Oryctolagus cuniculus: one gene and its partners. The protein of the gene in region 3 interacts with the protein of the main gene of each other region in a biochemical or structural test. Links are inferred from orthologs where the notes say so. Each region holds a gene or a part of one and is shown on either strand. Other genes may lie near its edges. The genes, in order: DDO, PEX13, PEX5, PEX7 and AGXT.

Region 1 (6,156 bases), on a different chromosome or scaffold from region 3:
GTGGAAACCAATAGAAACTGTCCCACCTGATTTAAATTGAGAATTTTTACTGCAAAAGATGATTAAAAGCATTTTCTCCAAGAACCTTTCCCCCCTCCCCTCAGCAAAATATTCTTTTCAAATGACATCATATGCAGAATCCCAGCGAAGAAAGCTGTCCACCCAGAGCTGTGCTGGAAACTTTTTCTTTCCCGCATTTTCATTCCCAACCCCACATTTCCCCCACCTTCCCACCGCCAAGGATGTCCAAAACACAACTTAGGGGGCAGGCATTTGACCCGGTGGGTAAGATGCCACTTGGGACACCCATGTCATGTGTTCGAGTACTCTGCGCTCAAGACTCAGCGTGGCTTCCAGTTCCAGCTTGCTGCTAACACACGCCCCGGCAGGCCGCAAGGATGCCTCCAGTACTTGGGTCACTGGCCCCACACGGGAGTCCCAGATGGAGGTCTTGGCTCCCAGCTTTGCGGGCACTTGGGGAGTGAACTAGCAGGTGGAATTCTCTCTCTCTCCCTCTCTCTCCTCTCTGCCTTTCAAATGCATAAAATGTTCAATAGAACTTCTTCTTATTAAACGTAAGTCATCTCCCTCCAAAATTAAAACAAAAGTTAAATCCAGTTGGCGTCAGCCTCTCTTATTACCCCATTTACCACGTCCCCGTACCTAAAACTTTCTCGAGCACTCTAGATAGAGTCGGCCTGAGTCCAGGAGCCAGGCTAAACCTACCCGACTCAGCAGTTCCCAAGCTCATTTTATTATGAGATGCATCTCTCTTCCTCACTATTTTTTTTAACAGCCTACAGAATACTCTTTGGTTATATTTCATCCAGAATGATTATTCCATCTCCATCAGCAAATTAGCTCGGGTACGGCACATACAATTCAATCTTCAAAACTGCTTAGGTAAGTCAGCCGTCCCAGCCAGCTCCTCATCAGTTATGGTAATGGAATATACAGCCCAGGCGGCTACCGAGTGGATGCCACACCCGTAGGCAACTTCATCTCTGTCTGCTGCCGTCCCCGCCAGCTGAGGGGGAGAGGTCGCCACTTGTCCTGGCAATAATCATGCGTTGTCCTCAGTCAAGTGCAATGAGTCTGCATAGCATGGACACTAGGGGATTTTCCTTAGAAGGCTCATAAGGCTCACTCAGCGATCACCTAACAGGGCCAGAGGCAGTTCTGCAACTGGCCGCAATTGAAGTGTTTCCCATGCATCATCTCCGCCATGGATTTGTGAGCCAAAATACAGCACACTTCCTATGGCTTCCAGCCTTCACGTACATTAGCATAGATCCTTGCACATGAGATTCAAAGAAATCTGACCCTATATAGCCAACACTTTTTAATAAAAATAGAGCTTTATGTCCTATGTCATGAGTAGTAGCCTTGCTAATGCTACTGATACGTGTTGCATCATTTCTCATTTTGAAACCAAATAAGCATCTGATTAAACTTTCATGCAGCGAAAATGTTATTTGAGCCCGCCTGGTGCTGCTATTGGGCTTTGATCCACGCTCTCTGGGGCCACTTCCTGTCACTTCATGTTATCTAGAGCTTTGAGTGGGGGGCAGGGGTCCCGAGGGCCTGGGCACACTCGCTCACCAGTCTGGCGGCCTCTAGAGCCGTGCCCCAGTGCACGGAGAAGCCGCCGGCGCCGTGGCCGTAGTGGTGGACCACGGGCAGTCTGCGGCCGTCCCGGACTAAAAGCTCCTTCTGTAGCCGCACGCCCGGCCGGGAGGGCCTCAAGCCCACCTGCTCCTTTATGTCGTAGGCTCTGTGGAGCGAGGGCTCCAGAGCACAGCACCGAGAAAGGATATCTCTGCTAACCTCGGCATCTGGGGACAGATTCCAGTCGCCTGGCTGCCTGGTCCCCCCCAGGGTGACATGGAACGCCCCGGGGTAAATGTACGTCAGTCCGCTGCCGTCTCGGATGAAGTGCTTCACCCAGGGCGCCTGGACCTGGAGCACCTGCCCCCTCACAGGGAAGACCGCGGAGTCTCCCGCCAGCCGCCTGCTCCCAAGGCCCGAACAGTTGACCACGATGTCGAAGCTCGGGTGGAGCTCCCACAGGTCTTCCACTCGGCGGGTGAGAATCACGCCTCCACTTCCTTGTAGCCTGGGGAGGAGAGAGCCGGGGGTGAGCCTTTGTAGCTTCCTACTCATCCACTTCAGGAAGCGAGGAAGGAACACAGGACCGGACAGGAGGCACCGATCACCGCACTGATCACCGCACAGACGCCGCCCAGAGCTCCCGGGGCCCAAGCAGGCCAAATTGTAGCCGTCGCCTGCCTCTTATTTTCAGAAACAGGGAGTTCCTGGAATTGAACGTCAATGAAAAACGCTTTTGAAAATATGAAATACATGGAATACCTCATCTTGTATATTTTTGTAGAATTCTTCTATCGCTCAAGATGCTGCAAGTAAATGCTACATGGATCTGATATTTAAATACTGCAGCATTTTTGTTTCTGCCACTCCTGACCATCTACATTCTCTGCCTGGGATGCTCTGTCTCATTGGGAGCTCGCGCCTCCCACCCCCTCTATGTCTTCCGGGATGCTAGCAGAGAGAAATACAAAATATTTGTATCTGGGAGATACCATGATAGTTTTGTTTGATACTTATTTTCTGGATAAAATATATAAATAATGAAAAGAAATGAGTTATCTGAGTCTTGGAACATTTTTTAAAGTTGCAGTAAAGGGGACAGCACTGTGGCGTAGTGGGTAAAGCCACCGCCTGCAGGGCCAGCATCCCATATGGGTGCCACTTGGAGTCCCAGCTGCTCCACTTCTGATCCAGCTCTGGCCTGGAAAAGCAATAGAAGATGACCCAAGTCCTTGGGCCTCTGCACCCATGTGGGAGACCCGGAGGAAGCTCCTGGCTCCTGGCTCCTGGCTTCGGATCAGCTCAGCTCTGGCCATTGCCACCGTTTGGGGAGTAAAACAGTGGATGGAAGGCCTCTCTTTCTCTTTCTGCCACTCCTTCTCTCTGTAACACTGACTTTAAAATAAAATAAATAAATCTTTAAAAAAGTGTCAGTGAAATACACATATCATAAAATTTACCATTTTGACTTAATTTTTTACAAAGATTTATTTATTTATTGGAATGCCTGAGTTACCCAGAGAAAGGGAGGCACAGAGATAAAGAGGTCATCTCTCCGCTGGTTACTCCCCAAGTGGCTGCATCGGCAGGGGCTGTGCCAGGCTGAAGCCAGGAACTTCTTCCAGGTTTTCCTCATGGGTGCAGAGTGTAGGCACTTGGGTCATCTTTAGCTCCTTTCCCAGGCCATTAACAGGGTGCTAGATCAGAAGTGGAGCAGCCAGGATTTGCACTGGCACTAATATGGGTTGTCAAAATGGCAGCCAGCTGCCCAACCTGTTACATCACAACACCAGCCCCATTGTCCCATTTTGACCACTTTTAAGTGTACCGTTCAGTGGCACAGTTATCCAGTCATCACTACCATCCGTCTCCAGAACTTTTTCTATCTTCTAAATGAGAAGTTTGAGTCATTAAACAATAATCCACAGGAATATCATAATCTTAATTTTTATCTCTTGAATCCTATAATCTTCTTCACAAACCACTTTTTAAAAAAGATTATTCAGGCTGGCACTGCGGCTCACTAGGCTAATCCTCCGCCTTGCGGTGCCAGCACACCAGGTTCTAGTCCCGGTCGGGGCACTGGATTCTGTCCCGGTTGCCCCTCTTCCAGGCCAGCTCTCTGCTGTGGCCAGGGAGTGCAGTGGAGGATGGCCCAAGTGCTTGGGCCCTGCACCCCATGGGAGACCAGGATAAGTACCTGGCTCCTGCCATCGGATCAGCGCGGTGCGCCGGCCGCAATGCCATTGGAGGGTGAACCAACGGCAAAAGGAAGACCTTTCTCTCTGTCTCTCTCTCTCTCACTGTCCACTCTGCCTGTCAAAAAAAAAAAATTAAAAAAGATTATTTACTCGAAAGGCAGAGTTATGGGGGGTACAGGAAGAGGAGGAGAGAGAGAGAGAGAGCTTCCATCCACTGGTTCGCTCCCCAGATGGCCATAACAACTAAGGCTGGGCCAGGCTAAAGCCAGGAGCTTCCTCTGGGTCTCCTATGTGGGTGGCAGGGGCTCAAGTGCTTGGGCCATCTTCTGTTGCTTTCCCATGTGAGTCAGCAGAGAGCTGGATCGGAAGTGGAGCAACAGAGAGGGTGGCAAACAACAGCATGGGTCTTAGCAGCTGATTTTAATGAGCAAAAGGGGGGCTCTCAGTAGCGACCCTAATTTTCTTCCCCCACTGCCTGGTGCAGAAGTTCAACTGGAACTTGCAGTCAGACCGGCAGGAAGCCAGCCTCTGGCACGGGACGTGTGGCCCAGCTAATGGGCGTGGAAGAGACCAATGCTGCTGCTCATCTGTATCCCGGTGTCCAGTTCCCAGTCTGCAAAATAGCACTGGCTTCCTTCTGTGGGGTTGCAACGCCGCCCTCTGACGGAAGGGATTCCCCTCCCCTGCCCCCTCCGTCTGCAGAGACCTCTGCACTCTCTGCACAGAGCAGCCTGAAGAAGGTTTTGAAACCTCTGGATTAGATCTACTTAGAGGACTCAGCAGGTCCTTTTTTGGCAAGCTCTGTGCTAGGCCAAGAGAGCTCATAGGCGCCTCTTGCTCTGACGTTATACGAACCCCTTGTGCACTCATTAGGAAATACAAGCAGTTGTTTCAAGCATCAGTGCTCCAAATGACACAGCTTACGTCCCAGGTGCTGGCACTTTAACCGCATGCACGCTTGCTTGTTATTCTGAAAACCCACCAAAGACACAATGTTGTTTACCTGACACAGGAAACCAAAGACGCATCTGGCAAACATGCACACTTTAGGGCCCCCAGAGAACTTAGAAAGCCAATGCATTACTTTGTGTCATAACCAACAGTGGTTAAAAGGCAGCGAATGGGGCTGGAACTACTGTTCTGTTTTCTTTCTCATTTTTCCTAAGTAAAACAGATTGTAGATAAAAATACTTAATGTAACCAATCTTATGGTCACAAGTTTTCAGCTCTCTCATGAAATAAATGATTTGAGAGCTTAAATTATGTTTTTTAAACATATAAGAATACTTCAAACATATAAGAATACTTAAACATATAAGATTACTTCAAAAGGCTTGTGGAAAAATGGAATTAAAAGTTAGGGTTCTACATTGAGGTACACTGGATTAAGCTGCTGCCTGCAACACCAGCATCCCACATGAGTGTAGGTTTGGGTTTCATTTCCTCCAATTCTAATCCAGCTCCCAGCCAACATGCCTGGAAAAGATGGCCCAAGTGCTCGGACCCCTGCCGCTCACGGTGGAAACCCGGATGGAGTTCCAGGCTCCTGGCTGCAGTGTGGCACAGCCCCCATCCTAGCAGCCACTTGGGGAGTGAACCAGCAGATGGAAGACCTCTCTCTCTCTCTCTCTCTCTTCCCCCTCTTCCCCCCACTCTCTCTCCTTCTCCCCCCCTTTCTCTGTAGTTCTGACTTTTAAATAAATAAATCTTTTTAAAAATCTTTTTTAAAAAGATTTATTTATTTATTTGAAAGTCAGAGTTACACAGAGAGAGGAGAGGCAGAGAAAGAGGTCTTCCATCCAATGGTTCACCCCCCAATTGGCCGCAGGGGCCAGAGCTGTGCCGATCCGAAGCTAGGAGCTTCTTCCAGGTCTCCCACATGGGTGCAGGGGCCCAAGGACTTGAGCCATCTTCTCCTGCTTTCCCAGGCCACAGCAGAGAGCTGGATTGGAAGTGGAGCAGCCGGGACTCGAACCAGTGCCCATATGGGATGCCAATGCTTCAGGCTAAGGCATTAACCAGCCGTGCCACAGTGCCAGCCTCTAAAAAGAGATGTTTATTTTGGGGCAAAAAAATTTGAAATACAGTCATCTTTTTTTTCATAATGCACATTTTCAATGAACTTTTTGTGTACTCTTCATACAATGACAGATGAGTGATTTTAAGAGTGAAATAGCTGCGAAGAGTCTTTCCCCCTAACACTGACTGGCACAGAAAGGCATACACTGGAATTTTGTGGTGATACTAACCAACACACTGCAGTGTTCATAATCTTTAAAAAACTGAGCACAAAAATGCTCATAGGAAGGATTTAGGCACTTTCTCCTTCATAGGGATTTTGGCCAAG
Region 2 (4,823 bases), on a different chromosome or scaffold from region 3:
CTTAGAATATCACCTTTCACTTCTTATCCTGTCTCTAAAGATAACTGAGGTCTTCAATTTTTTTGTCCATCTTGGATTAAAATACACATTCATTATCTTCAGAATTATTTATCACAATGGGATAGAATGGATTTTATATTTTGGCAAAAAACATGTAAAAAAAGCTGATACATAAAGGTATAGTTTGTAGAGGAGGTAGACATTTAACATAGCAGTTAAGATACTCATGTCCCATATCGGAGTTCTGGATTCAACTCCCAATTCCAATTCCGTATTCCAGCTTCCTGCTAAGGAAGGCAGCAGGGGATTGCCCAAGTAATTGGCTTCATGCCACCCTTGCCACCCTTGTGAGAGACCTGGCTGTGGCCACAGCTCAGCCCTGGCTGTTGCAGTTGAGGCGTGAGGCAGTAGATAGAAGCTCACTCTGTGAATGTGTGTGTGTGTGTCTATCTTCTCCCCACACATAAATATGTTTTTTAACTTTTTAGAAAAAATAGAATTTAAGGTTTATTTTGGTGGAAAATATTTTTAAAATCTATACATAGTTTTTTTTAAAGCCAGTTTCTTTCTTTCTTTCTTTCTTTCTTTCTTTCTTTCTTTCTTTCTTTCTTTCTTTCTTTCTTTCTCTCTCTCTCTCTCTCTCTCTCTCTCTCTCTCTCTCTTTCTTTCTTTCTTTCTTTTTTTAGTTTTTGACAGGCAGAGTGGACAGTGAGAGAGACAGAGAGAAAGGTCTTCCTTTGCCATTGGTTCACCCTCCAATGGCTGCCACGGCCAGCGCACCGCGCTGATCCGAAGGCAGGAGCCAGGTGCTTCTTCTCCTGGTCTCCCATGCGGGTGCAGGGCCCAAGCACCTGGGCCATCCTCCACTGCACTCCCTGGCCACAGCAGAGAGCTGGCCTGGAAGAGGGGCAACCGGGACAGAATCCGGAGCCCCAACCGGGACTAGAACCCGGTGTGCCGGCACCGCAAGGTGGAGGATTAGCCTATTGAGCCACGGTGCCGGCCTATACATAGTTTTTTCATACCACAGATTTTTCATGAATTTTTGAAGACCCTTCGTATGTATGGATTTCAAAAGTCTTTGCACTAAAATAAACATCTTTTCATTGCATTTTCTATGAACTTTATAAAATACCTTCATATTTATTTTCTGTACTTATCCTCACTTACCCTGTTGAGAAGCAGTGAGATATTCTTTCCTGAGATTCCAATTTAAAATATTAAAGACATTAATTTAAAATTTTTTTAATTAAAGGCATTGCTAATTTTAGTTTTAAAGATTTTTATTTATTTATTTTAGAGGGAGAGTGGGAGAGACAGAGAAAAAAGTCTTCCATCTACTGGTTCACTCCCTAGATGGCCACAATGACCAGAGCTGGGCCAGTCTGAAACCAGGAGCCAGGAATTTCCTCCAGGTCTTCACATGGATGCAGGGGCCCAAGAACTTGGGCCATCTTCCACTGCTTTCCCAGGCCATAGCAGAGAGCTGGATCGAAAGAGGAGCAGCTGGGACATGAACCGGCATCCATATGGGATGCTGGTGCTACAGGCAGAGGCTTAGCCTACCTACTATGCTGTAGCTCCAGCCCCTAATTTTTAGTTTTAAAGAGGATGAATCTCCTTACCCTATGAGTGGGCCAACTGACAAAAACTTTATGTTCTTCAAGATAGAAAGAAAATTTAGTAAGTAAAAAAATTTAAAATGTAAATTATAATTATGGACCTTAGAACTGGTAGGCGTATTCAGCATTTGATTTTGAATATCTATGTGCATGTACTATTTATTTATATATTTTGTTAGGTAAATGTAACATTTTACTTAAATATGATATTTTACCATCAATAATCTATTGAATCATCCAAGTATGTTATAATTACCAAGCTTTTTTTTTTTCCCCAACAGAACAACAGCCCAGAATACGTGGTTGGCTTCTGGCTAGTCTTGATGGTCAAACAACAGGACTTATACCTGCAAATTATGTCAAAATTCTTGGCAAAAGGAGAGGTAGAAAAACGGTGGAATCGAGTAAAATTTCCAAGCAGCAACAATCTTTTACCAACCCCACACTAATTAAAGGAGCCACAGCCAATGATTCTTTGGATGAACAGGAAGCTGCCTTTGAATCTGTTTTTGTTGAAACAAATAAGGCTCCAGTTGCACCAGATTCCACAGGGAAAAGTGGAGATAAACAAGATCTTTGATCTCTTTCATGATCATATGCAGTTGAACAATAGAGTACTTTTTTAAAATTATTTCTGATAAATCTACAATCCAATGAAAACATGTTATTGGCTATTCCAGGTATTTTGCTGCTAGAAATTATTAAAGTTATATGCAAGTATGTTGGTCTAGTGACCTGGTTATGTGTTACAAGTTATTGGACCACGAGGACATTGGTTTCACCTAGTTTTTAAGATTATGAAGACTGCTATCATTGTCATCTTTTAAATCCCTAGGTTTATTGGAGGGGTAAGACTGGTGAACCATAGGATATATGGTTTGCTGCAGTAGGGATCATTAATGCTTATTAAAATTCAATTCATTGGCTTGTAATCCTCAGAAATTGATAACATAAATATGAGAGCAGGCAAAAAGGAGACCTTTTTTTTAGATCCTTAAGTAAACTGAATAATAAAAATGTTCTGACTCATATTCTATCCAGTGTTGAGTTTGCTTTAGTCAGTAGTAATATGTTTTTGCCCACAAATAATCAATACTATTATCTTTGTATTTTTTAAATGTATCTTGAAAAGGTCACTAGAAGCATTATAGAGATTGTTCTAGAATGACAGAATATAGCCTTTACAGTATTGCTTTACAGTTTGCATTTAGTGATATAACCAGATCTACCAGTAATGCTTTTTTAATCTTTTCATAGATTCTCTGCTTCTACTTTTTAAAATTCCATATTCATGTGTTCTTTAAACATTGAAAATGTGTCACTTTGCATATACATTTGTTTCAGGTTTAGTTTTTACTACTGAGACTATAAACAAAATACTCAATTGGCATTTAGAATGTGATAATGCTATTTGACTTATTTGTTTATTAATGATCATAAATATGGTTAACTTTCAGTACACTAAGTATTTCCCACAAAATTGGAAACTTTGTACACTTGCTGTAATTTCTACAGATTAATACTATCAGGAATACAGGTGTGTAAAAATATGCTTGCAGGTTTTGTTGAAAACTTAGAATTATTTGACAGAGATTACAATTTAGTATTTTTATCTTTATTCTTATAGACTATATTTACCAAATAATTCTAGAACAGTTCAGACTAAAACATACAGGAGCCATAAAATAAACTCAGCATTGAGGAATTTTACTAGAAGCTTTTGGGAAGCCCTTTTTTGAAATGACAATGTAGTAAGTAATGTAGCATTTAAAATAGCAATATTTGTGCAGAAACAGTTATCTTGGGCCTATTTTCATAACAGTTATCTTAAGCCTATTTTCTCAGGTCTAACCCACAAGTTGAGGAGATAGTTTCTTGTATTTTCCATTTGTGTTCTATAATTAAAAGTTCTGCTTTTTTTTGGTAGGGAATAATTTATGGAAATTCTGTTTTTTAAACAAATTTTTGATAAACTGGTATTTGGACATCTAAATTGAATGTTAAAAGGAAAGTGGAAGTGAAACGTGGAGTTAGTGCTACTTATATTAGGAAAGATGAATTATTAGCATAGAATTTATGTCTGCTACTTAAAATGTGCAGGAAGAAGAGTAACAGAATGAATGACAAACCAATTTCACTTTTCTTAAGGTGTTTATTGTTTGGTTAAGTATGCTAAATATAGTATACATTTTCTACTGTTTGGGTCTGGAAATTCCCTTTCTGTTAAAATTCTAGAAAAAGAATTTAAGGCTAGAATAAGCAGAGAAATTTTGTAACCTTTTTTATCATGATAGTTTTATTATAATTCCTAGATGACATTAAATGTTATGGTGAAGGCTCCAATATTTTCATTTTTAGGAACTTACCTAAGAAGTGCTACTTTACAGGAATTACTAATGGAAACCAAAACATTTTCATTTAAATAACAATACTAAGTTAAAGTAAGATAATAGATTTCTTTTCATTTTTATCAGCTCAGAAAGGAAAAGGTAAGAGGATTACAAATTTCCATATTTTAACACTTTTTAGATACTGACTTTGTCAGTATGTCATAATTATTCATTTACCTGAATTCAGTTATCCTTCATTTTATGCTTTCTATGAAAAATTTAATGCAGTTAAATATTTGTAATAGATTAAGTTTCTTTTACTGGAGAAATAAAAATATGTTAAACTTGATGTACATTTTTAAAGAACAACTTAGCTCTTTCTCCAAGATTGGAATTATGTAAGAGCTTCTATTTTTCTTCATGCCACCATATATATACCTACTATAAACCAATATGTCTGTTCTGTTTCTTTGTGATTTGAAGAAAAATATTAGATTTACATTTACATAAAACTTGCAGGTGAGTTAAACAAAACTAAGACCTCAGAGCTAGAATTTGGGAGACCTATAGTCTGGAAACCGCCTTCTTTAACATTTAAATTCCATTGTTTTTCAGTTTCTTCATTGATAACATTGGTAATAGCTACTACATCTACCAACATGAGAGCACTTTAAAAAAAAAGCACAATCAAAAGTATAATTTTTCAGCAATTACATGTTTTATAAGTTTTTCCATGTTTACTTAACCTTCTTAAATCCTGTAAAATTGTCAGTATTTCTGTCCGTCTAGAATTTCAGATTTACAGATACTTAACTAAAAGTTAAAATTACCTCTTCATACTTTAACTCTGCCCAGTTTATAATATAAAATT
Region 3 (6,156 bases):
GAAACAGCTTGTTGCCTTGATATGTTGTTGTTTCGATGTTATAGCAAGTGCCCTTTGTTACCAGAGCTGCTGCTTTTTTTTTTTTTTTTTTTTTGATAGGCAGAGTTAGAGAGACAGAAAGGTCTTTCTTCCATTGGTTCACCCCCCAAATGGCTGCTATGGCCGGCGCGCTGCGCCAATCCAAAGCCAGGAGCCAGGTGCTTCCTCCTGGTCTCCCATGCGGGTGCAGGGCCCAAGCACTTGGGCCATCCTCCACTGCACTCCCTGGCCACAGCAGAGAGCTGGCCTGGAAGAGGGGCAACCGGGACAGAAACCGGCACCTCGACCGGGACTAGAACCCGGTGTGCCGGCGCCGTAGGCGGAGGATTAGCCTAATGAGCTGCGGCACCGGCCACCAGAGCTTCTAAGATAATTTGTTGCATTCGAATGAAAAACACGGCTGCTCAAAACTAACCCAAAGCAACAAAAGTCAGAATAGTGTTTACGTCTGGGGTCTGGGGACAGCTGGGAACCCATGAGGCAGCTGTAAAGACTCTGTGCGGGGCTGGGTGATGCGAGTACACGCATATACTTGGGCTGGCTACACATTATGTGCTTTCGGGTTTGTATGTTATATCTCAATTAAAAAAATGAAAAACAAAACATTGCGTCTAAATAGCAGGCCCGTGTGTCTTTAATTCTGGCCTGGCGTTTATTTCTCAGCTTCTCGTGGAAGACACGCTGGGATGAAGTGGCTCCTGTTGCTGGGGTGGTGTGAACTGCAGGTAGAAGACCAGAGGTTTAGTTAAGGAACAGGAGCTCTCTGTTCTCCCTTAGCTCCTTGCTGGCTGCCTAGGATACCCTTGAGAAAGGGAGAAGCCCATGTGCTTGCTGTTTCTCATCAAGGCCGCCTGTACTTCAGAAGAGTGCGGCTCTGAATTCTTTCCCAAATTGCCCTGTTTGGTCTCCTGTTCCCATGTGTTTGTACACTTCTACCCCAGATCCCTAGGTGTTGAGTTGGATATTGAAAAGAATGTGAAAAATTGGTATTTTTTTTTTTTTGGCTGGTGGGCACTGAGGAAATAATAGAGTTCCATCTGTTTCAGCTTGCTGAAGAGGTTTGTTTGAGTATTTGTATTGCTTTCCCTGTTCCTCACTGAGTGCTGGGTGACTTCCACAACTTTCTGTTCCTGGTAGACCCCTTGTCCGTGTCGCCTGCCCGCTGGGCTGAGGAGTATCTGGAGCAGTCAGAGGAGAAGCTGTGGCTGGGAGAGCCCGAGGGAACAGCTGCTACTGACCGTTGGTGAGCCCACCCACTCCTTTCCGGAGCCCTGTAAAAGGAGGCCAGTACTGGACGGCTTTCCCAGCCTCTCTGCCTCTCCATCCACATTCTCAAACCAACCTGTGGTCCCTTCTTTTCGTACTTTATTTTTTAAGGTTTCCATTTGTGTTATTACCACTATAATTCATGTTTGAAAGAATCTGAGCAACCCTGCGAAGTTTGTACTTTTATGTGCTTTGTTCCTTTTAAACATTCGAGCCTGCTACTGTTTATTCATTCTTTTTGAAAGATAGGTTTGGGACAGGGACAGGAAAAGGATGTTGGTATACTTTCTGACTTCTGCACAAATATTGTACTTCAGTGTCAGTTGGCTTAGGTAGGTCCTCAACAAGAGTAGAGTGGTGCTACCCTCTCTTTCCCCAAGGGGAGCTGTTACTGCTATGGACTTGGTCCGGAGAATTGCATGGGGAAGTGGTGGCAGACTAATGTGTGAAGTTAATTTATCCCTTTCTGTCCCAGGTATGATGAGTACCATCCCGAGGAGGATCTGCAGCACACGGCCAGTGACTTTGTGGCCAAGGTGGATGACCCCAAATTGGCTAACTCTGAGGTGAGCCATATCCCTCTGTTGCTGTGCCCAGGAGCTGGTCTTGAAGGCAAGCGTCTTGCTTCTGTTGCCTTGTTTAAAGAAAAGGAGATGAGAACGTGGGTCTATTCCTTGCAGCCTTGATCTAACCTCTTCTAATACTCTTCGTTTCTTGCCTGATCACCCTTTCTGTATTCTGGTGCCATCTCCAATCTTCAGAGCCAGAAATCCCTTTCTTTTTGCTCTCGTCTTTTTCCAGGGTCTTTAGCACATACCTTGTGTGCAGCTAGAGCTGGTCAGTGGGAGGGGCAAGTGCAGGATCCTGTTGGGCGTGGTTTAGAGTGCACCCCTGAAAGTCCTCTCCCAAGTGGCTGTGTGTGTCTCTGTGCCCCAGTTCCTGAAATTCGTGCGACAGATTGGCGAGGGGCAGGTGTCCCTGGAGTCCGCTGCAGGGTCGGGCCGAGCTCAGGCAGAACAGTGGGCAGCAGAGTTTATACAGCAGCAGGTAGGCCATTGTCACTTTCCAGTCCCACTTCGGAGCCAGCTGGTGCCCCAGGCCTTGGGTTGAGTGTTCAGTGGTCCCTGAGGGGGAAGGGATTTTATTGCCAGCTTGTCTTGGTAGCATCAGGTCCTGAGTGGGAGGGAGATTCTGAGGATGTTCTTCTCAGAAGTGCCCAGGCTGGTGGTGTTCAATGGGTATTGAGTTTATGTTTAGTGGTAGAAAGCTGTTGTTGGTAGTGACCTTCTTCCTTTGTCACAGGGTGCATCAGATGCCTGGGTTGACCAGTTCACGAGACCAGTAAACACATCTGCCCTCGATATGGAGTTTGAACGAGCAAAGTCAGCTATAGAGGTGAGAGCAGATGGGCAGGAGTAGACTCACCCCAGGAGAAAACCTTCCCTCCGGGAGTTGGGTGTATTAGTGTCAAAGATGGCGAAGGTTTCGTCTCCTAGGGTACCTGGGTCAGCTGTGCCGCTCAGAAATGCAGATTCTTGGGTGTCACCCAGACCGCTGAGTCAGAATCTCTGGGTAGGATCTGGAGATCTGTAGTTTTATAAAGCTCTTCAGATGACTCTTAAAACGCTGAAATTTCACGATTGTTGTCTTAGGGAGTCCATTCCAGTGAGCTGAGGGTGGGATGGGGTGGCTGTGAAGGATCTCCTTTTCTATCTGCCTTCCCTTCCTTACAGTCTGATGTCGATTTCTGGGACAAGTTGCAGGCAGAGTTGGAGGAGATGGCTAAGCGGGATGCTGAGGCTCACCCCTGGCTTTCTGACTACGATGATCTCACATCTGCTTCCTATGATAAGGTGAGAACCTGGTTTTTCAGGTTTCAGAATCCGCCTCTAATACCTTCCCTTTAATACTGAATTTGAAGGAGACTCACTTTCAAGTAATGTCCTGTGTATGCAAAGGTCATTGATCATACACTGTCTTCTTGGCTAGAAAGGTTGGTAAGATAATGGCAGTATGGTGACAGCAGCTGTGAGGGAGGTTTGCTTGTGGTCATTAAGGACACAGAGGGGGCAGCTCTGTTTTGGAGGTGGCGCTGGAAACATTTTCAGAGGATTGCTCGCGCTCCTCTTCGGTGGAGAGTGCCAGTTGACAGTTTATCCTCTGCCACCACCCCTCAGAGTTATTGACTTTCTTAAATCACACATTCATTTTAAGGTCTAATCTCTTCTGGTATGTGCTAGCCCCTTACCCCGGTGTAGGGTCATCTATGAAACATTTTAAATACTTTAATATATTAGGAACATTTCCTAGCAGTTGGTGATGGAGCACGATTGAATTCTGCATCCCGCATGTGCTGTAGAATTAGAAGTTTCTGTTGCTTCAGGAGTCTCCTGCGACAACCAAATCTTGTGGGTTGCGGGGTACTTGAGGTTGTGATTCCTAATTGAGCTCCTGAATTGAAGCATAAGGGGGAAGGGAAAGAATTGCTGGGTTTCGCAAAATGGCCAAACAGGAAGTGGGGAAGGAGTAGTAATGTCTTTTTCTCAGCTCAGATGTGGTTGGGGAAAGATTCTGGGGCTTGAAACAGCCCGAGATACAAAACAGGGTGCTGGGGATACCTGTGGGCAGAGTGAGCGAGCTCTGCAAAACATTAAAGGCCATTAGAGGCAGGATGATTTTGAAAAGCTAGGATTTGGTAGTCAATGAAAAACTGTTTTAGGAAAAATAGGATTTTGCTTGTATTCCTGCTGATCCTCTGGGCTTTTCTGAAGACCGTTTCATCTTATACAATAGAAAAGGTTATTTCTGGAGGTTTTGCCCTGTGGTTAGGAGGGAGAAGGGCAGTACTGTGGCACAGCGGATTAAGTCACTGCTTACAGCACTGTATCCCTTATCCGAGTGCTGGTTCAAGTCCCAGCTGCTCTGCTTCCAATCCATCTTCTGTTATTGTGCCTGGAAGGGCAGCAGAGTACAGCCCAGGTGCTTGGGCCCCTGCGCCCATGTGAGAGACCGTGATGGAGTTCGTGCCCGCTGGCTTCAGCCTGGCCCACCCCTGGCTGGCTTTGCCCTTTGGGGAGTGAACAGCGGATGGAAGATCTCTGGCTTTCTCTGTTGCTCTACATTTCAGATGAGTAAGTGAACAAATGGATGTGTGAAAGATAGAATACCAATAAGGAAAGCCTGAAAGATAGAGATAATGCTTTCATTATTTTATACTGAACAATTTAAAAAATTTTTAATCCCCCCCCCCCCCCCCAACAAAGAAACCTTTTATTTAAGGAATACAGACTTCATGCATTTCCTAAGTACAACATTAGGAATATAATGATTCTTCCCACCATACCTGCCCTCCCACCCCTTCTCCCTCTCCTATTATTCTCAGTCCCATTCTCCACTAAGATCCATTTTTGATTAACTATACACAGAAGACCAACTCCATACTAAGTGAAGAATTCAACAATTTGCACAAAAAAAACCCAAAACCAATCCAAACCAAACCAAAACTGTTCTTCAACAGTCCAGACAAGGGCTGTTTAAAATCGTTGTTTCTTGAAGTTAATTTCACTTTTTTTTTTTTCTTACAAACTTAATTAACTTTAATGAAGCACCCAAGAATGATACATCTTTTGGGAGCACTTAACTATAGTTATAATACAACTCCTTGAGGACAGAGGTCCTGCATGGGAAGTTAGTGCACAGTGACTTGTTGTTGTTAATTTAACATTTAACTCTCTTATATATGATGTCAGTGATCACCCGAGGCTCTTTTTTAAAAAAAAGATGTATTTATTTGAAAGTCAGAGTTATATAGAGAAGGAGAGGCAGAGAGGGAGAGAGAGGTGTCTTCCATCTGTTGGTTCACTCCCCAATTGGCTGCAATGGCTGAAGCTTTGCCTATCCAAAGCCAGGAGCTTCTTCCATGTCTCCCACGCGGGTGCAGGGACCCAAAGACTTGGGCCATCTTCCACTGCTCTCCCAGGCCATAGCAGAGAGCTGGATCAGAAGTGGAACAGCTGGAACTTGAACTGGCACCCATATGGGATGCTGGCACTGCAGGTGGCAGCTTTACCCACTACACCACAGCGCCGGCCCAAGGAATATAGTTATTCTTCCCACCATACCCGTCCTCCCACCCTTCTTCCTCCTCCCCCTCCCCTTCCCGGTCCCATTCTCCACTAAGATTCATTTTCAGTTAACTTTGTAGCATTCACTCCTTTTTAATTCTATCTATTATTTTTACCAGACCCTTAATCTTATCCATATGATCATTTTAACAATTAAGATGGTATTTTTACCACCCAGCTTAAGGGTCTTTGGGGTTCCATGGCAAGTTTTTAAATTGTACCTTTAGAAGTAAGTCCTTAGGAATGCATGCAGAACTATACAGCTTTACAGTTGCAAACTTCATACACTTCCTAATTACAACTTTAGGAACATGGTGATTCTTCCCACCATGCCCACCCTCTCACCCATACTCCCAAACCCTCCTCCTCCTCTCTCTCTTATTCCCACTCTTATTTTTTACTGAGATCTATTTTCAATTGACTTTATACACACGTTTAACTTTAATTAAAGAGTTCAACAAATAGTATAAAAAAACCCAAAATTGTTCCTCAACAGTCAAAACAAAATGGCTGTTCTAGCTATTGCTTCTCAAAGTGTCAATTTCATGTATACAGTTTGCCTTTTAGGTGCTCTATTAGTTACCACAGGTCAGAGAGAACATGTGATCTTTGTCCCTGGCTTATTTCACTAAGCATGATGTTTTCCAGATTCATCCACTTTATTGTAGATGTCTGATTTTCATTTTTTTTTATTTTTCATTTTTTTAACCACTGTGTAGTATTCCAT
Region 4 (6,156 bases), on a different chromosome or scaffold from region 3:
TTTTATATAGTACCCATTTAAAAAGCTGTAATTATCTTGCTAACTCTCTATAAACAATGAATCTTTTTTTCTGCTATTTGGTCTCATACACCAAATGAGTGTTCCATGTGTAATATCCAGAGTCAATATTATATGTGAGTATACCATGCCACACAAAAGCCAATATAAAAGGAAGAGGTGCATGACTCAGCCCAAATAAAGGGCTAATACACACAATATACCTGATGTTTAAATAAATGCAGCTGTACTAGTTTATGATTTTGTGGCTACCAGATTTCATATTCAGCCATGGGCATAAAAAGAACAACAATTATAAGCATGAAGACAATTTTAGAACTCTAAACAATAATATAAATTAACAAGGTAACATACAATAGTAGGATAAAGGACTTTCTAAAAACTCATCAGGAGTTCAATGAGTTCTACTTACTAATACTTTTCCCAATACGCAAAATTATACTCATTTTTAACTTCAGTTTACTGTGAATGTTGCCCATCAGAATCCCAAGCAGACACGCTTTCACTGTTTTACTTTCAGAAGGAAGCCTGTTTCTGCCCATTTTGAAGGCGGATCTATTCTTTACCTCTAAATTCGTTCAGAGTTTGAAACAACTTCTCTGCATCATAGTTACGGCTGAAGGGCATCTCACCGTAAAGAAAATGAAGTTAAAGTCAGTCTAATTCATATCCTTACAAGCATTTTAATTCAACTTGGGCTAACACTCTCTGTGTTAGGGCTTTTCACCAATGGTAAAATTATATCCCTTAAACTATAGTCATCTTACAGATCTGATCCATTATAAATATAAAACTCAGCATTTATACTATATACAGGTTAAATGGTTCATTAACTCAAACTAAGTGTATTAACACTACTACCATTGACTTAACACACACCCAGCCTTATGGTTAGCTGTGTCACAGAAGGATAAAACATCAAAGAAGAAATTCATCCTTGGAAAAGGAAATACAATGAGGAAAAATATATCACTGATCCCATCTCAAGGTATTTTAGAAAAGATTTAACTTAGATTATGACCAAAAGAAGCAATGACTTGTTAACTTAGAAATTTAAAAATAGTAATAAAATTATATAAGTTTATAGAGTACATTGCTCATCATTCTAGAAAATAATATCAGTAATTTCTTTCAGAGAACAAAATGTTTCTTAAATTGATTGCCTCTAAATAGATTAGTCACCATTAGGATCTCAAAATAATAATCTAAATGTATCTAGTTGTCCATATACAGGTTACCTAAGGTTACCTGTTTGTCTATACACAGGTTACCTAAGGTTTCCATTTTTGAGTGTCATCAGCTTAGTAATACTTTCAGAATTTGAGCAATTGGGGGGAGGGGGGGGAATAGTGAGTGGTGGCCAGTGAGTGAGCGACTTTCCACCTGCTAGTTCACTCTCTAAAGGCACACAACTACTGGTGTTGGCCAAAGCTGGGAGCTGGAAACTCAGTCCAGGTTCTCCACATGGGAGGGAAGAACTCAATTATTCGAGCCATCATTACTGTCTCCCACAGTCCACATTAGCAGGAAGCTGGAGTCAGGAGCTAAGTATTCCGACATGGGACAATGGTATCTTAACCACAAGAGTAAAGTCATGTCCCAGTTTGACTACTTGTAGTTTTTAGAATTAAAAAATTAATAAGAAAATCAACTAATGGAAAGGATTTCTATGATGTCCTATTTCCTAAGGAAGCCAACTCAGAGCACTGATAGTTTATTGGCAAGTAAGGTACGATTACCCTACCTGTTCTTTGTCTGGATGTAGCATAACTAAATGAGAGACACCTGGAGACACACTGTCACTCTCTCTAGCTCCTGTCTTCTCTCCTCACTAAAACAACCAACTGTGCTCAGGATTGATCTTCCCTCAAGGCTCTATGCCAGGGGTGAGCAAACAGTCCCCATAAAGGGCCAGTCTTTTATGGCTTTGAGGGCCAGTTTCAGATGTCACAACTATGCAACTCTGCCACTGTACTTGAAAGCACCCACAGACACTATGTGAATAAATGTCATGGTTCTGATTCAACAAAACTTTATCTACAAAAACTGTCACTGAGTCAGTCACTGTGACATGAGGGCAGTAGTTTGCCAACTTTTGTTCCATCCCAAGTTTCTTCTGTTTAGTCTTCCTGGGTACTCAGATTTCCTGCCAGCACTTCAATTACCAGTCATGAGCCAAGAGCACAATTTCGGGTCACAAGGCTAGACTGAGCTCCACAATGAACCTGCTTGCTGACATACCCACATATACGTCTTCAGAGTCAACAGTGTTCTAAAACAAAACTCAAGGGGCTGGCGTTGTGGCGTAGTGGGTGGAGTGGCCGCTTGCAGTGCCAGTATCTCATATGGGTGCTGGCTGCTCCAATTCCAATCCAGCTTCCTGCTAACATGCCTGGAAAAGCAGAGGAAGATGGCCCAAGTGCTTGGGCCCCTACACCTATGTGGGAGACTAAGAGGAAGCTCCTGGCTCCTGGTTTCAGTCTGGCCCAGCCCTGGCTATTGCAGCCATATGGGGAGTGAACCAGCAGGTGGAAGACCTCTCTCTCTCTCTAACTCCACCTTTCAAATAAATAAATATTTAAACACACACACACACTCAAGACCTTCTCTTTCAAAAGTATTTCTTACCCTAGTTTCTGATCGCCATCCATGGATTTGTCCTTACCAGGAAGCTATGAGTTATTCTCCAAGAGTTAGAATCCCCGAGAAGTAATCTGGGCCCCTGGCTAACTCTTGTCAAGAGGTTGGTAATGAATGAAACAGTCTTTTTTTTTTTTTTTTTTTTTTTTTTGACGGGCAGAGTTAGACAGTGAGAGAGAGACAGAGAAAGGTCTTCCTTCCATTGGTTCAACCCCCAGATGGCCACTGCGGCTGGCTCGCACCGCGCGGATCCGAAGCCAGGAGCCAGGTGTTTCCTCCTGGTCTCCCGTGCGGGTGCAGGGCCCAAGCACTTTGGGCCATCCTCCACTGCCTTCCGGGGCCACAGCAGAGAGCTGGACTGGAAGAGAAGCAACCGGGACAGAATCCAGCACCCCAACCGAGACTAGAACCCGGGGTGCTGGCGCCACAGGCAGAGGATTAGCCAAGTGAGCTGCAGCACCAGCCCAATGAATGAAACAGTCTTAAGAGTACAAAAGAACAGTATGTCATATACTCTGGGTTCCACCCTGAATCTGAGGTATACAGCACCACCTAATGGGGAAAACAAGGCCACGCTTTTCTACAAATAATGCTTCTGGTAAGCAGACAATTATTTACCTGAGGCTGAAGCAAAACAACCAGGGATGTGGGGAGACCAGATTGTGCTATAAATGACACTCTCGTGGCCTCTAAAGGTGCACAGAGACTTTCCAATAGTTGGGTCCCACTACAAACAAATGAATAGATCAGTTACTTAACAAAGGGAAATTCAAATTCATGCACATGTATATACTATATATATATAAATAGGTAATATACATACACAAGCAATACATATCATCAATTTTAATATCTATTTTTATGTAAAGCAAGAGGTACCAATTTTAAGGGGCCAAAATAATCAATGCTGAGCTAATTATGGCCCAAAGAAATCTATTTTAAATTCTAATAACCATTTCAATACATGTCTTGAAAACAAAACTATCTGTGAAATTACAGAAGTTATGTTTTGGAAAAGAAACAATTCAGTGTTTGTTTTAAATACAGTAATGCTGACATACCACTTTGACAGACTGATCCCATGAGCCAGACACCACAAGCTGTTCACCTCTGGTTTGGCTCCAATCAACACTATACACCTAAAAACATTTTAATGCGTTTAGAAAGCAAAAGGGCATCAAGTTCAACATTACATTTTATCTCTTTATTGCAGTGATAGCCAGTTAGAACAAGTAATTTGCTTCATTAAAACATCAAAGTCATTTCAACACGCTGAGAAGTGGAAAGGTGACCTTGCCCATTCTTCCACATTATTCCCCACAGACCAGACTCCACCTTAACAGAACTCTACAGAATACTCCCAAACCTTCCCTAAAACAAATTATACCTATTTTTAAACCTGCCCACAAATCACTGTTTGCAGCACCATGAAGAAATGTCAGAGAAGATTAGAGAGGTAGTCATCTAAAAAACCTTACTGGGTCAGTGTTTATCAGAAAGCATTATAAATTCAATTAATATCCCTATTTGGCCTTTCTTAGAAAAAGCTTATAGAAACCAGGTGATCCTTTCAGATCTCTTGGTAAACAGCTTTAGTTATCCAATGCTGCTATTCTAATTTATGCTTCAGTATTCTCACTGAACCATTTCAAACGGACCATCTGAAAACTTAACAGAAATATTTTTTATTCCACCATTTTATACCTCTGATTATATACAGATCACTGAGTTTAAGTTCAAGAAAATATGCACAATTATACTTTAGAAAAAGCCCAGACATGAACCTGAGTATATGTCATTAAATGTGACCACCCAGCAGGCTAATGTGAAGCTGACAAGTCTCACTCCCACATACCTGTGGAGACAATGAACAAATGGGGCGCTGCAGCTGCAGGCTGGGCTCCTTGCTCTCTGCCGCCCAATGCCCTGCTGAGCAATGTTACGGCCTAAGGGGGTGAAAATCAGTGATACTGATCCTCCCTTTATTTCAAACTTTTCATGCTTCATCACTTCTATGCAATCCAGCACAGTAGAACTTAAGAAAAACACACTGTACAGTGCTGGCTGCCAAGGGTTGGGGGGTGAGGAAAATGGAAATAAACTTTCAGCTGCAAGTTAAGGTCTAGAGATCCAATGTAAAGTATGGTAATTGCAGTTAATAGTAATGTATTCTACATTTGAAATTTGCTAAGACAATAGCTTTTATATGTTCTTGACACACATACAAAATGGTAACCGTCTCAGATGATGGATATGCTAAGAGGCTTAATGGGAGTAATCATTACTCTATGTATACTTGTATATTAAAGCCCTACTTTACATACCTTAAATATATATAATTTTTATTTGTGAATCATATCTCAATAAAGCTGGAGACCTTTTGAAAAAAATTAAATTTTATTAATCTTCCAAAAAAGAGGAAGGATAAAAGAAAACACAATATTGGTATTTGGCTCATCATGAATTTTTTGCATCCATTTTTATTTTTTGAAAACACTGCATTAACAGACTATTACCTTAATTATCAAGTTTTGGGGAACTCCCTTAAACTGTATACTCTGTGAGTGCCTCACAACCCCACCCCCCCCCCCACAAGCCCTGGCCCTGTCACTGCCCATATTCATGCAACAGAAGAGCAGCTAAGACATGAAAAGAACCATAGTCTCGCAACAGACAACAGCTCATACCCAAAGAGCTGCTGTGGCCGTATGTCAGCCACAGATGGAAAAGGATGCGTTCAGAAGCAGTCACTGAAGATCTGCACAGCTGAGGGGTTTGAGTTTACGCTCTACATTTACTTTATAAAGAGCCCTATAGTATATGGTAAATTTCTTCCATAAAGTTAAATCTCTTCTATCAGGGCCATAGAGTAAGTATTTCAGACTTTACAGGACACATAAAAGCAGCCTAAGTCAATACTCAATGAATGGGTATGGCTGTGTCCCAATAAAACTTTATTTGCAAATCAAACAGCAAATCAGGGTAGGCCATGGCCCATAAGTTGTAGTCTGCCAATCCCTGCTCTAGGCTGATGTAAGCAGTCAAAAAATAACAACAGGAGTAAGCATTTAGCCTCGTGGTCAGGATCCAGTTAAGATGCCCACATCTCACACCAGAACACGTGGGTTCAATGCCCAGCCCCAGCTCCTGCCTTGAGCTTCTGCTACTGCAGACCCTGGAAGGCAGCAGTGATGGCTCATGTAGTCGGGTCTCGGCTACCCACATGGGAAACCCAGGCTGAATTCTCAGTTACCACTTTGACCTGGCCCAGCCCTGGCTATTGCAAGATTTGAACCAGTGGAGGCGCAGTGACTTTCTCTCTCCCTCTCTCCCCCAGTAAATAAGTAAATAATTTTAAGAAAAAAATGCTAACAACAGTAGCAAACCTTTATTAAGCACCCTGTGTGCCAGAGGTTGCCACATTCTCCGTGATGCTTCCAGGAAGCAGATGATATAATCTACTTGGCACAGGCCAAGGCCCATAGAGGTTGAGTAACT
Region 5 (6,756 bases), on a different chromosome or scaffold from region 3:
CACCTGTGGGGCAGTCACCTGTGGGGTGGGCTCACCTGTGGGGCAGTCACCTGTGGGGTGGGCTCACCTATGGAGTGGGCTCACCTGTGGGGCAGTCACCTGTGGGGCGGGCTCACCTGTGGGGCAGAGTCACCTGTGGGGTGGGCTCACCTGCGGGGCGGGCTCACCTGCGGGGTGGGCTCACCTGTGGGACGGGCTCACCTGTGGGACGGGCTCACCTGTGGGGTGGAGTCACCTGTGGGACGGGCTCACCTGTGGGACGGGCTCACCTGTGGGATGTGCTCACCTGTGGGACGGGCTCACCTGTGGGGCGGGCTCACCTGTGGGGCGGGCTCACCTGTGGGACGGGCTCACCTGCGGGGTGGGCTCACCTGTGGGACAGGCTCACCTGTGGGGTGTGCTCACCTGTGGGGCAGGTTCACCTGTGGGACGGGCTCACCTGTGGGGTGGGCTCACCTGTGGGACGGGCTCACCTGTGGGGCGGGCTCACCTGTGGGACAGGCTCACCTGTGGGACAGGCTCACCTGTGATGTGGGCTCACCTGTGGGGCGGGCTCACCTGTGGGGCAGAGTCACCTGTGGGGTGGGCTCACCTGCGGGGCGGGCTCACCTGTGATGTGGGCTCACCTGTGGGACGGGCTCACCTGTGGGGTGGGCTCACCTGTGGGACAGGCTCACCTGTGGGGTGTGCTCACCTGTGGGACGGGCTCACCTGTGGGACGGGCTCACCTGTGGGATGGGCTCACCTGTAGGACTGGCTCACCTGTGGGATGGGCTCACCTGTAGGACTGGCTCACCTGTGGGTTGGGCTCACCTGTGGGGCTTGCTCACTTGTGGTATGGGCTCACCTGTGGGACAGGCTCACCTGTGGGGCGGGCTCACCTGTGGGACGGGCTCACCTGTGGGGCGGGCTCACCTGTGGGACGGGCTCACCTGTGGGGCGGGCTCACCTGTGGGATGGGCTCACCTGTGGGATGTGCTCACCTGTGGGACAGGCTCACCTTTGGGGGCGGAGTCACCTGTGGGGCGGGCTCACCTGTGGGACGGGCTTACCTGTGGGGCGGGCTCACCTGTGGGACAGGCTCACCTGTGGGGTGGGCTCACCTGTGGGACAGGCTCACCTGTGGGACAGGCTCACCTGTGGGACGGGCTCATCTGTGGCGGCGGAGTCACCTGTGGGGTGGGCTCACCTTAGGGGCGGAGTCACCTGTGGGGCGGGCTCACCTGTGGCAGAGCTCCCCGAAGCCATCGAGGGGCTGCAGCACACCCGTAGATGACTCCCCGTGGGTCAGGAACAGCAGCACGGGCTTGTGCTGGGCCAGGCACTGAGGGTAGAGTGACAGCTGGGGGCACAGCCGAGAGGGGCTCCCCAGCACCCTGCAGGAGGGACTTTGCAAGTGAGGATAGGGTGGGGTCCCCCCAGCAGCCCCCCTCAATGCGTGTGGACAAGGTCCAGCAGGAGCCTGGTGACCTCAGCCCCTCCTGGTGGGTGCTGTGTCAGGTGGGGACAGCTGGGGGAACCTGTGCTCTGGGAGGAAGGGGTGGGTGGAATCTGGGGGCCCTGGGAGGAGGGGATGGGTGGGGTCTGGGGCCCTGGGTGGAGGGTGTGGGTGGGGTCTGGGGCCCTGGGAGGAGGGGTGAGTGGGGTCTAGGGTTCCTGGGAGGAGGGAGTGAGTGGGGTCTAGGGTCCCTGGGAGGAGGGGGTGAGGGGGTCTGGGGGCCCTGGGGGGAGGGTGTGGGTGGGGTCTGGGGCCCTGGGAGGAGGGGTGAGTGGGGTCTAGGGTCCCTGGGAGGAGGGGGTGGGTGGGGTCTAGGGTCCCTGGGAGGAGGGGTGAGTGGGGTCTGGGGGCCCTGGGAGGAGGGTGTGGGTGGGATCTAGGGTCCCTGGGAGGAGGGTGTGGGGGGCTCTGGGGATCCTGGGAGGAGGGTGTGGGGGGCTCTGGGGTCCCTGGGAGGAGGGTGTGGGGGGCTCTGGGGGCCCTGGGAGGAGGGGTGAGTGGGGTCTGGGGGCCCTGGGAGGAGGGGATGGGTGGGGTCTGGGGGCCCTGGGAGGAGGGGGTGAGTGGGGTCTGGGGCCCTGGGAGGAGGGGGTGGGTGGGGTCTGGGGCCCTGGGAGGAGGGGGTGAGTGGGGTCTGGGGCCCTGGGAGGAGGGGATGGGTGGGGTCTGGGGGCCCTGGGAGGAGGGGGTGAGTGGGGTCTGGGGCCCTGGGAGGAGGGGGTGGGTGGGGTCTGGGGCCCTGGGAGGAGGGGATGGGTGGGGTCTGGGGGCCCTGGGAGGAGGGGGTGAGTGGGGTCTGGGGCCCTGGGAGGAGGGGGTGGGTGGGGTCTGGGGCCCTGGGAGGAGGGGGTGAGTGGGGTCTGGGGCCCTGGGAGGAGGGGGTGGGTGGGGTCTGGGGCCCTGGGAGGAGGGGGTGGGGGGGCTCTGGGGGCCCTGGGAGGAGGGGATGGGTGGGGTCTGGGGGCCCTGGGAGGAGGGGGTGGGTGGGGTCTGGGGCCCTGGGAGGAGGGGGTGGGTGGGGTCTGGGGGCCCTGGGAGGAGGGTGGGGGGGCTCTGGGGGCCCTGGGAAGAGGGGGTGGGTGGGGTCTGGGGGCCCTGGGAGGAGGGTGTGGGGGGCTCTGGGGGCCCTGGGAGGAGGGGTGAGTGGGGGCCCTGGCAGGAGACCTTTCTAGGAGGGACATCTGCTGGAGGAGGCGTGGCCCCCGCCTCCCAGCCCCGCCAGGCAGAGTCCCCGTGGTCTGGGCAGGAAGCTGTGGCACCCTGAGTGTCAGAGACCCGTCACCCTGCCTCCCGCCCCCAGGGCTGACTCGGTTTCTCTGCCAGGCCCTCCCCCCCACCTCCCCCCCCTCCCACTTGCTCCCAGCTCTAGACTGCTCTTCCTGTGGCCACACACAGACGCTGGGAAGGGCTGGGGGTCGGGGGGGGGCCCATCCCCCGGCCCAGCCTGCGGGGCTGGCCCCCGAGGCCCCTCCGGGACCCCTACCTCCTCCACCTCCTGCAGGGTGTAGTGGCTTCCAGGATCCTTGATCATGGGGTGCACTCGGGCCCCTGGGCACAGAGGCAGAGAGGGGGTCAGAGCCGGGGCCCGGCAGCCGTGCAGAACCGGGACTCCGCCCGCCCTGCAGCCTGGGGGCTGACAGGAGGGGAGCGGGGGTGGGCTCTCCTCGCTCCTCCACAGCCGACAGAGCCTCCTGTGCACCCAGAAGGGGGTCCCTCAGGACACCCCCACGGTGTGAGGAGTGAGTGACAGGAGCCCGAGCCTGGGGGCTGGGGGCCGCCTGTCCCTTCTGACTGAGGTGTCCACGAAGGGCCTCGGGTTGTCCATTAACCAGCCTGGCCCTGTGGGGCCGGCGCTGTGCTGGGTGGAAGGCTGCTCGTGCCCCCTGCCCACCCAGATGCCCCCGGAGCTGTTTCCCGGAAGTGAGGGGAGCCCCATCCTGTCACAGGGCAGAGCTGGGCCTGGGGCCCCACAGGGCTGCAGGACTCAGGGCGTGGGGGCTTCCCCCAGGGCTCTGGATCGGGGCCCCCTGCACGCTGCGCCCTTGGGTCCAGGCCCCAGGAGCACCCTGACGCCCGCCTGGAGGAGGCAGCAGGCCGGGCCTCCGGCGAGGCGGGTGGGGGCAGCCTTCCCTTACCGATGCGCTCGCCGACCTCGGCAGCCCGCTGCCCCCAGATGCCGTTGGCTCCCACCAGGAAGGCGTCCCCCGGCTCCAGCAGGTTGAACAGGGCGGTCTCCAGGGCGCAGTGTCCCGAGCCGCTGACTGCCAGCGTGAGGGCGTTCCGGGTCTGGAAGGCGTACTGGATACCTTGCTTGATCTCGTCCATGACCTGGGGCGGGGGCGCACGGGTCAGATGCGGCCCCCCCCCCGGGCCAGGCGGCCCCCCGCGGGCGGCCGGCGGCCAAGCCCACCTGGTACATCTCCTCGTGCATGTGGCCAATCATCTGCAGCCCGCCGGCCGCCAGCACGCGGGGCGGCAGGTTTGAGGGGCCCGGCCCCAGCAGCAGCCGGTGGGGGGTGCAGAGGGGCTTGCGCAGAGCCTCCGGGGGCGCCACCAGCAGCTGGCGGGAGGCCATGGTCTGCACCCGACCTGCCGCTCGGGGCCCCAGGGCCACACTGGCCTTGGCTGGTGACTGGGGTGTCTCCTAGCCAGCCCAGTGACGGCCTGGAGGTGGGGCCTGGCCAATGGACTCCTGGCCACCCACGCCTTTGGCTGTTTCCTTCCTAGCAGGGACAACATCAGAGGGGGGCGGGGCCGGGGGTGTCCATGGGGGGGAGCCTGAGCTCCGCCTCCCTGCTGCTTAGCTCAGGGGTCTGACGTCTCCCTCAGAGGGTCACAGAGCAAATTGGCTGTGTTCCAATACAACTTTATTTGCAAAAACACACAGGACACCAGATTTGCTGACGCTGGCTTAGCTGATGGCAAGGTTTGATTTAGCGGACACATGTGCATGGTGTGGGGGAGACGGCCACTCACTCACACTCACACTCACACACTCACACACTCATACATGCTGATATACTCACACTCACACACTCAGTGCCCAGTCACACACTCGGTGCTCACTCACACACTCATACACTCTGATACACTCACACTCACACACTCAGTGCCACTCAGTCACACACTTGGCGCTCACTCACACACTATCTCACACACTCACTCACACACTCATACACGCTGATACACTCACACTCACACAGTGCCACTCAGTCACACACTCGGTGCTCACTCACACTCTCATACATGCTGATACACTCACACTCACACACTCAGTGCCACTCAGTCACACACTCGGTGCTCACTCACACACTATCTCACACACTCACTCACACTCTCATACACTCTGATACACTCACACTCGCACACTCAGTGCCCAGTCACACACTCGGTGCTCACTCATACACTATCTCACACACTCAACACGTGCACACTCGCACTCCGAGCTCACAGTCACACACTTGATGCTCACTCATGTACCACTCACTATCTTACACACTTGGTGCTCACACTCACACACCACTCACCACTCACACACTCACACTCAGTCACACACTTGGTGCTCATACTCACCACTCACACACCTCTCACACACTCACACACACACTCGAGTGTGCTCACACACACCCACACTCACGCGTGCCGACATCCACTCACCTGGGACCTGCTCCCCGACCTTGTGAACAAGTGTTTCCTGTGTACTGTGCGCGGGAGGGTGGGTGCTGAGGGTGGGTCCCATGTGACCACTGAAGCGCCCCCCTGCAGGCTGGGTGATGGGGCTGTAACGAATGCACCCCAAGACTCCCTGGAGGAGGAGCCGGACCGGCCGAGCCCCGCCCTCCGTTCCAGGCCCCGCAGAGCTGTCTGCTCCCAGCCCGGCAAGCCCCCGTCACCTCAGAACCTCGCACGCGCTGGGGGCAAAGATCTCTCTCTCTCTCTCTTTTTTTTTTTTTTTTTTACAAAAAGACTTGTTTTACTTATTGAAAGGCAGTGAGAGGGAGAGAGAGAGCGCGCGCCTTCGTCCACTGGTCCACTCCTCAAATGGCCATAATGGCCAGAGCTGGGCCAGGCTGCAGCCGGGAGCTGCAGGGCCCATGCCCTTGGGCCATCACTGCCGCCTCCCAGGTGTGCCTCAGCGGAGCTGGGACTGGAGCCCAGGCTCAGTGAGGGACGCGGCGACACTGCTGCGCCTGGTGCCCTGTCCCCCGCTGGCAGATCTGACGCCCTTTGAAGGGGAGGCAGAGAGGGACACAGAGCAAATGTCCGTTCCCGGGCAGGACCCCTGTGTGTGGCTCTGTGCCCGCATTCATGGTCGCACGGGAGGCACAGAGCCGCGGGTGGGGGTGGGACAGGCGTGTGCTCTGTCACGCAGCACTGTGTGCTCTGACCCAGAGCCACTGCCCCCAGGGAGGCACCCAGCTTTCCCCTGGGACTTGCTCCCCACTCACGGCTGGGGCTGGCACCTTGACCTTCCTGGGGGTGTGTGGGTCCCCCGGGCTGCAGAGGAGGAGATGGGCAGAGGCGGCCAGGCCTGTGCCTCATCTCCCCCCACCCAAAGCTGCCCTTCCCCTGGGCGCTCAGAGCTTTCTGTCGCTGGTCGGGCCCAGGAAAGGTGGACAAGCTGTGGTCCGGCAGCACAGGAGCGGCCCGGGCGGCGGCACTGGTTCCTCTCCGACCTCCTTCTGCTGCCCTCCCCTCCCCTGCTCCTTGCCCAGCGCTCTGGGCCTGGACTGTGTGCCACTGTCCCTAGGGCGGCACCTGCAGGGCAGCAGGCACTTGGGGAGGCCGCCCTGGGGTCCTGAGGAGGGGAAGCAGAGGGAACTGGCAGGGGGCTCCTGGGAACTGGGGTCTGTGGGGGGCTGAGACTCCCGGGGAACTGGGGTCTGGGGGCGGGGCTGAGACTCTTGGGAACTGGGGTCTGTGGGGGGGCTGAGGCTCCTGGGAACTGGGGTCTGTGGGGGGGGCTGAGACTCCTGGGAACTGGGGTCTGTGGGGGGGCTGAGGCTCCCGGGGAACTGGGGTCTGCGGCGGCGGTGGGGGGGCGGCTGAAGCCCCCAGGCTCCAAGGCTGGAGGTTTGCAGCCACGAGGCCCATGTTCAGGACAGAGCTGGTGGTCTCAGGTCCTGCTCTGTTGTGGGGTCTGGGGTCTCAGCTCTGGTGGCATCTGGGCAGCCCCATGGGTCTCTGAGGTCAGTGACAGCATCACCTGGCCCAAGCCCGTACTGACCGCTGTGGCCTGCAAGTGAGCCCCTGCCCTG

What was found.
Region 1: the proteins of PEX5 (region 3) and DDO form a complex in vitro, tested with the Homo sapiens proteins (2 studies listed by BioGRID, with this or other methods). The link is inferred for Oryctolagus cuniculus from reciprocal best matches to the Homo sapiens genes PEX5 and DDO.
Region 2: the proteins of PEX5 (region 3) and PEX13 form a complex in vitro, tested with the Homo sapiens proteins (3 studies listed by BioGRID). The link is inferred for Oryctolagus cuniculus from reciprocal best matches to the Homo sapiens genes PEX5 and PEX13.
Region 4: the proteins of PEX5 (region 3) and PEX7 form a complex in vitro, tested with the Homo sapiens proteins (3 studies listed by BioGRID). The link is inferred for Oryctolagus cuniculus from reciprocal best matches to the Homo sapiens genes PEX5 and PEX7.
Region 5: the proteins of PEX5 (region 3) and AGXT are reported together in a solved structure, tested with the Homo sapiens proteins (2 studies listed by BioGRID and IntAct, with this or other methods). The link is inferred for Oryctolagus cuniculus from reciprocal best matches to the Homo sapiens genes PEX5 and AGXT.

Annotation. Positions count from the first base shown.
Region 1 is NC_091436.1:61,101,944-61,108,099, reverse strand, and holds part of DDO (D-aspartate oxidase), read right to left. Parts: intron 2,117-6,156; coding exon 1,549-2,116; 3' UTR 1-1,548. UniProt on the Homo sapiens protein: Selectively catalyzes the oxidative deamination of acidic amino acids. Suppresses the level of D-aspartate in the brain, an amino acid that can act as an agonist for glutamate receptors. Protects the organism from the toxicity of D-amino acids.
Region 2 is NC_091433.1:141,655,713-141,660,535, reverse strand, and holds the end of PEX13 (peroxisome biogenesis factor 13), read left to right. Parts: intron 1-1,903; coding exon 1,904-2,202; 3' UTR 2,203-2,658; downstream 2,659-4,823. UniProt on the Homo sapiens protein: Component of the PEX13-PEX14 docking complex, a translocon channel that specifically mediates the import of peroxisomal cargo proteins bound to PEX5 receptor.
Region 3 is NC_091440.1:102,361,300-102,367,455, reverse strand, and holds part of PEX5 (peroxisomal biogenesis factor 5), read left to right. Parts: intron 1-1,176; coding exon 1,177-1,282; intron 1,283-1,780; coding exon 1,781-1,871; intron 1,872-2,241; coding exon 2,242-2,352; intron 2,353-2,607; coding exon 2,608-2,700; intron 2,701-3,038; coding exon 3,039-3,158; intron 3,159-6,156.
Region 4 is NC_091436.1:32,000,467-32,006,622, forward strand, and holds part of PEX7 (peroxisomal biogenesis factor 7), read right to left. Parts: intron 3,798-6,156; coding exon 3,720-3,797; intron 3,386-3,719; coding exon 3,277-3,385; intron 1-3,276. UniProt on the Homo sapiens protein: Receptor required for the peroxisomal import of proteins containing a C-terminal PTS2-type peroxisomal targeting signal. Specifically binds to cargo proteins containing a PTS2 peroxisomal targeting signal in the cytosol.
Region 5 is NC_091434.1:718,484-725,239, forward strand, and holds the start of AGXT (alanine--glyoxylate aminotransferase), read right to left. Parts: upstream 4,195-6,756; 5' UTR 4,074-4,194; coding exon 3,909-4,073; intron 3,827-3,908; coding exon 3,634-3,826; intron 3,047-3,633; coding exon 2,982-3,046; intron 1,325-2,981; coding exon 1,224-1,324; intron 1-1,223. UniProt on the Homo sapiens protein: Peroxisomal aminotransferase that catalyzes the transamination of glyoxylate to glycine and contributes to the glyoxylate detoxification.